Linked DNA regions of Arabidopsis thaliana. The protein of the gene in region 1 interacts with the protein of each later gene in a pairwise test. Each region holds a gene or a part of one and is shown on either strand. Other genes may lie near its edges.

Region 1 (3,712 bases):
GTTCTCTATGATAGAGAAAGGCTTCTCTCCTGGATATGCGACCTATTCTTGGCTCGTGGATGGATTCTATAACCAGAACAAGCAAGACGAAATCACAAAACTCCTAGAGGAGTTTGAAAAAAGAGGTCTTTGTGCTGATGTTGCTCTATACAGAGGATTAATAAGAAGGATTTGTAAGTTAGAACAGGTGGATTACGCCAAAGTGTTATTTGAATCAATGGAAAAGAAGGGTTTAGTGGGAGATAGTGTTATATTCACGACCATGGCGTATGCATATTGGCGAACAGGGAAGGTCACTGAAGCTTCTGCTTTGTTCGATGTAATGTATAATCGACGGTTAATGGTAAACTTGAAACTTTATAAATCTATCAGTGCCTCTTACGCTGGTGATAACGATGTTTTGAGATTCTTTTGGAGTCATGTAGGTGATAGATGTCTTATATCGAAGAGTATTTTACGGGAAATGAACAGAAGCGAGGTATTGTGAAGTGAGCCAACATATCACATTTATATATATGTACTTTAAAAGACACTAATAAGCTACGTAGTACTTGTTGTTTCTAGCTACTATAGAGTGAAAGAATACTGGTGTAGATATCCTCTGCATCAATCATGATACAATAATGACCTTTATGGAAAGTGAAAGTGCATGTACTGCTAAATACTATCCAACTAATAACCGTAAACAAGCTGTAGATCTGAATACATTTCAACAACAACAACAACACATCAAATTAATCATAAGAAATTAACAAAAGTCTGCATAACCGTAACCGTAAAGTTCATGCTGCATGCATTAACTGATTCAACCCAAAGTTGTTCACAGATTCTTGTACCGCCGAGTATGGTCTGCGTTTGAGACCCAAGGATGTTGAAAGCTGTTGTTATTGATGTTACCCATAGACATGTTTTGATGACAACCATAAAACTCCTTGTGCATCAACTGATTCAACCCAAAGTTGTTCACAGATTCTAGTACTGAGGCGCAAGTAACTTGAAAATTGTTGTTTGTGATGTCACCCATGCTCATGTTCTGATTCTGATCATAACCACAAAGCTCCTGCTGCATCAAGCCAGATTCTTCTTGTATTGAGACTGAAAAATCTTGATTGAAATTTGATGCAGAGAGTGGGATTTGAGAGAAGGTAGCATCTCCATGGTTACTCATGCACATGTTGTGCTCATAACCACAAAGATCGTGCTTCATTAACTGATTCTTCAACCCATAGTTGTTATTCACAGATTTTTGAACAGAGTAGTAATCTTGTGTGTTTGAGACAAAAGAATGTTGGAAGTTGTTGTTGGCTGAAAAATCTTGATTGAAATTTGATGCAGAGAATGGGATTTGAGAGAGCGTAGCATCTCCATGGTTACTCATGCACATGTTCTGCTCATAACCACAAACCTCCTGCTTCATTATCTGACTCTTCAACTCAGATTGTTCAAGTAACGCTGAGATATAATCCTGATTGAAATTTGATGCAGAGACTGGGATCTGAGACAGAGTATTATATCCATGGTTATACATAAACAGCGAGAACTGGCTAGGGTTCAAAGATTGGTTCAGAGAAGATATTGATGTTAAACTCTGATGATCCGGTTTTGTCTCATTCTGTTTCTGCGACTCAAGAAATCGAAGCCTTTCTTGGAATTTAGAGACATTGAGTTCTAAGGACTGAGTCAATTGAGAAACTTGGTCGGGAGAGTAATGATCAGCGAGTGGATACTTTAAAACATTCACGTTCTTAAGACTCGTCTTCTTCTTCTTGTTCGGATTCTTCAAACCCTTGTTCTTCTTCTTCTTGTTCAGGAACCCATGAAGATTAACGCTTTTCTTGTGTCTCAAGGCTTCGTTTAATTGATTAAACCTCAGAGCAATGTCTCGCACTTTCTCTCGCTCCTTAGGCCATGTTTTAAGTTCTCCGTCTGGTCCGTAATAGATGACGCAGGCTTCGATATCACAGAGAGTGCAAAGCTCTGAAGCTTTCTTGAATATAGTCTCAAGTCTGTTAGACAAACTTGTGGAAGCGAGTGAATAAGAAGAAGAGGAAGACGAATTGGAACAACGAGAGGAAGAAGGTGAAGATCGAATGGTCGTCATCTTCTTGTTGATTTTGAAGACAAACTCTCTGTGTTTGTTTTCACGTTCAGAGTGAAGAGAAAAAGCTAATGAATTAGGTTAAGGAAACCCTTAGATATGTCATATATTTATAGAGTTTTTTTTGTAGGCCTGCGAGACAAACTCGAACCGATAATTCCGAACCGCTCCGAACCGAAATTTTTGGTTCCGGGCTTTGCTTCGGTTAGGAAAGGAAAACCGATCGGAAGGTTTGTAAATTATGTTTGGTTACCCAGTGTTTCGGTTCGGTCGGTTAACCGATATATTTTTCTTCCTCTGCTTTCGTCGGAACTCTTCAGCCGCTGGCAAGCTTCTCTGGTTAGGGTTTTCGTAGAACCTGACAATTTAAAGAAGAATAATCAAAACGCTACATTTCAATTTTGGAATCGGTAGTTAAGAGGCCAAATTTTTGTTTTTTTTTACTAGGCTTGGCCCAAACGTGTATATTTTTACAGCGGCCCAAACTATTATATATTGGACCTGTTCGTTTCTGTGTCGCCTAATTTGGTCACTTTTAATTTTCATTGTATAGTTGAAAATACGTAGTTTGGGTTGGGAAGATAACATATAATTGCTTCGATCTAATTGGGTTGGACTTAGAATTAATGTCACATTTTAAAACCAAAACCAAACGAATCTAAATATGTTCATGAGATCACAGTGGTTAGGCTTTAACCAAAAACATTCAGGCCTTCACACTAAACCAAAATGTTAAAATCCCGGTTAAGCTCAAACTTGTTGCACATGATAATCATGACGTGTCACAGCTGGAATTTCAATTTCTTTTTTTCGAAACATGTCTTAGTCTTGGAATCTTGATTTTTCAAATTTTGAATTTTTCTATATAGCGGAAAAAATTGGAGTTAGACCGTTTGAAGAAGAAGAAAAACCTCTACAAATCTCTCTATGATATCTCTCACTTTTTAGAAATCCCTAAATTTTAATTTTTTTTGCAAAATGTCTGGAGAAGTTTTTTTTTCTCCGGCGATCTTGCTTGGTTCACCGACGAATTGTCGGCGACGATCATGATCCAGAAATGACGATCTCTCACTTCGTCTAGGTATATCGATTATCTGGTTAGTTATCAAACTCTCGAATTTAGGGTTTCTTTGAGGCAATTCCGATGATTATGAATTCTCAATTCCGATGATCTGTTTATGAATTGTGTTTCTCTGTTACTTGATTAGTTGATTCGATTACTGTTACAACACCTCTCGTTCTTTGTTTATGTTACTTAATTTGTTCCATCGGTGTGTTAATCTTTTGGGGTTTGATTTGTCTCGATCAATTTTGTTATTTCCTCCTCAATACCATCTACGATAGTTTTGTGATTCGTTTGATTTGGTTTTGTAAACGATCGCGAGATTGGGATATCTGTATTAGGTTTAGATTTTGTGAATGGGAATCAAAGATCAAGTGGTGTTGTGATGCTCTGTATCTGGTATAGATTTTGTTCTGCATCACTGTGTTTCCGGTTTGGTTCTTGGTCTGATTCTTTTGGTTTACTTTTCTATTTTTTACAGATCGTTTTGCCTGAGAACAAGAAGAAGATGATGGTTCATCATAGTTAACCAAGGAAGCGGCTCTAATCTT
Region 2 (3,668 bases), about 14 Mb from region 1:
TTTGCACCAAAAGTTTCCAAAACCATCATCTTCCACACCTGGAACTAAACAAAAAACTCTTTAAAGCAAAAGATTGAGCTTTAAAAGAGGGGCCAAGCCTGCGGCCTATTAACTGCTTCTACCAATCCTTTTTCTTGGCAAGCAAAAAAAAACTCTCATGACTTTGTGACTTGACATGCTTTCAATAGACCAAAGCAAAACTCTTAGCTTTGCATCCTCTACACTTCTTATACTAAATATCGCCCGGCGACTGTGAAGTAAAACCACCCAACTCATTTCTTAACACCCAAGCTCCCCCTACATTGCATTTGAACCAATTACAAGGTGTTTTTTCCCAAACTTTCCCCGCCATATAAACACTTCTCTGCATCACGTTTTGAATGGAATCAATTAGCACCGGTTCTTCTGCAATTTGTTATGGAGCCATTCTGCTCTATTTTGGTAAAGCTTTATCTGTTTTCAAGTTATGAAGTAATCACAAAATACTGGCCTAGATGATGACTGGTTTTGGTACTTAATAAGAAAGCAGAGACATTCCTAATCAAAGATTGTCAGACAGATGTTTTCTGTTGTAAGACTCAATATTGGTTTTAATATTATTTGTTGGTTAGATTAGAAAACATCCCACAGTTAAACAAGACACAAGTTGATACAAGAAAAAAAGAGTAGTAAGACTCATTGGTTTTAAACTTTTAATATAAGAAGAAAACATCACACATATAAAACAAGACAAGTTGATAGAAAAGACTACAAAACTTAAAAGAAAAAAGGATGGTTTCTTCATTAGTTAAGGCAAACCAAAACTGAACCGGTTTGAGTTAGATCAACATCCCAGAAATCCAATGAAGCATGGAAAATTGATTGAAGTCAAACCGGAACCTTCCTTGAGTAAAGTATCTCTAACGAAAATAAACCGAAGCAATCCTTGAAACATCTGTTATCTTGGAGGGAGTTTCAAATATCAGCAATGTAAGTCACTGAAATAATCAGAAAAGCAGAGATTATCCTCCGGTAAATCTTTTTGAATCATTAATCCTCCATCTTCAACAGCTTCAGGATTTGAGCACAGATTTTGCTTTGTAGTCACCATCGAGGCATAATCCTCCATCTCACAACTCTTCAAAAGGCTTTCATAGTTTGTCTCAAAATCAAGTAGCTGATCAAGATCTAGCTCTTGATCGAATTCATCCAAGTTTTCAGGTAAAACATTGTTCTTGTCAGAAATCATTAGCATCGTATCCTTGTCGTCCATATCAGACACGTGGATATTGTCCTCATCCATATTTTTGTGAACAACCAATTCTCTATCTTCAACAGTTTCAGAAGCAGAGACGGGGTTTTGATTCGTGGTCACCACAGAGACATCGTCCATGTCCAAGTTCATCGATAGAGCTTCAGCTGTTGACACATAATCAAATATTTCATCAAGATCAAATTCTTCAGTGTTCTTGTTAAACCCATCGAAATTCACAGAACATGATTCAGGATTAAAGGTTTGCTTTTGATGAGTTCCGTGTAAAACACCCTTCTTCTTCACGTCCTCCTCACAATCTCGTTGATTCTGCAAATCCTTCAGATCTTTCAACATCTTCGACATCGAGTCCATTGCGTCTCTCAGTTCCTCCAGGTCCTCTGATTTTGAAAGCCTCTCATCTTCCCACCAATAGTCTAACCCTAGACCTTCCCGAGGACGCTGATTCGTGAGGAAAGCGGCTACAACGTTATCAACAGAGGAATGGCCAAAGGTGTAGAAAGAAACGTTTGATTTGGAAGAGACCGGAGTGGCTATGATCGCAATTTGTGCATCGGAGAGAAGACAAAGATCAGAGGCTTTGCTATATAGACCCCTACTGCGTTTTGAGAAAGCAACAGCTCTTGAATCTTTCTTCTCTATCAGCTCTATAGAAATCTTTCTCTTCACGCCCCCCATTCTGTGTTCACGATTTCACAGACAAAGAAAGAGAAGGAGAAAAAGACAGAGAGATTTTTGTGTTAGCCTGTTGCGAAAGAATATGATATGGCTACTCTCTGTTTCTAATCGTGTATATATAGACTCTGTGTTGTTACTCGTTTCTAATCAATCGACTATATTTCCTTTTTCTGACAATTAGCTAATCAGTGATTAAACGAACTAAGTATAATTATTTTCCTTTTTTGAAAGTAATGACTCTTAAACCGCCTGAGACGAACCAAACTAAGTACAATCGATTTCCTTTTTTGAAAACTTAACTCGAAAAGCACCTGAAACTAACCATGGCTGGTTCAGTTAAACCATCGATTCTATTTCCTTTTCGTGATAATCTACTAATCACTAATTAATCCAATAAGTATATGTTTCCTTTTCCTTTGTCAAAGAAATTTCCTTTTCTGAAAGAGTGATTTAATCGAAAATTTGGTTCAGTAATAAACAGTTATTTGGTTTAGTCAAACCATCTAAATTATTAGTTTATACTAGCTTAATTTGAAGACATGCAATAATGCAAACCAACTAAAACAAACGTAAATCGAATATGCATGGCTCTATTTAGTAATTGAAGAGTAGGAAAACATTTAATTAAACCAAAGCAAATTAGACAAAATGCGAATTTTCTCTCTTGAACCGGGTTTGGTCAAGTTAAAAGAATCAAAGACGTGGAATCAACGAAACTTAAACCCTAGCTTTAACCCTCGCTCTCAACGGATTCTTCATCACCACCGCGAACACCAATTTGCCGGTGAAATCCACTTGGCTCTCCGGCGGGTACGAGCTCCACTCAAACTCTTGAACCATCCTCGACAGCATTAGCTCCACGTGTACGACCGCCATTCCAAGCCCCGGACAAATCCGACGGCCAATTCCGAACGGCATCATTTTAACTCCGGCGACTCCGGTTAAATCGGCGTCTTCTCCACCTGTTATAAACCGGTCCGGATCAAATTTCTCCGGTTTAGACCATATCTTCGGGTCTTCACTTATACCGGGAAGATAAAACTCAACATTAGCCCCGACGGGAATATCGTAACCCGCGAGATTAGTCGGCTCCGTAACGCCGTGAGTTAACGTGAAATACGTCGGTGGATGTCTCCGGAGAAGCTCCTTAACAAAAGCTTGTAAAAAGACCATTTTATTCAAATCTTTCTCCTCAACCGTTCGATCATCTCCCACCGTTGATTTAATCTCATCGTACAGCCGAGATTGAATCTTCGGATTCGATATCAGCTCCGCGATTCCCCACTCTATCGCCGTCCCCGTCGTATCCGTACCGGCGTTGAGAAACTCTGAACACAGCGTCACGAGATCTTCATCTGACGGTGACGTTTCACGACCATCAACTCTGAGATCGAATAAAGTATCAAGATACGCGAAAGACGACGCCGTTTTATCGGAGCCGAGATTTCGAATCGCTAATCGTCGTTTCTCGATGAATCCAACGACGAATTGGACAAGTTTCCGGCGAAGTTCCAGAGAATTTTTCCTCTCCTTGAAGTAAAACGGAGTTAGAATCGGAAGATAGTCGTGAATTCGTGGATCAACGGCGGTTAAAATCTCCGTCATCATCTGATCCATCTTCTCAATCGATTCTTCTTCCATTTTAACTCCGAAACACATATCTAACAAGATACAAAAAGCAGCGAATCTAGCGTTTCTTAGAACCCAGACGAGCCCGTCGTTTTCCTTAGCTTCAGAT

What was found.
Region 2: the proteins of AGL77 (region 1) and AGL99 interact in a two-hybrid assay, tested with the Arabidopsis thaliana proteins (one large-scale study listed by BioGRID).

The regions. Positions count from the first base shown.
Region 1 is NC_003076.8:15,512,205-15,515,916, forward strand, and holds AGL77 (AGAMOUS-like 77), read right to left. Parts: upstream 2,102-3,712; coding exon 821-2,101; 3' UTR 739-820; downstream 1-738. Other genes in the region: AT5G38730 (Tetratricopeptide repeat (TPR)-like superfamily protein), read left to right, coding at 1-487.
Region 2 is NC_003076.8:1,331,087-1,334,754, reverse strand, and holds AGL99 (AGAMOUS-like 99), read right to left. Parts: upstream 1,997-3,668; 5' UTR 1,931-1,996; coding exon 962-1,930; 3' UTR 833-961; downstream 1-832. Other genes in the region: CYP77A9 (cytochrome P450, family 77, subfamily A, polypeptide 9), read right to left, coding at 2,648-3,668.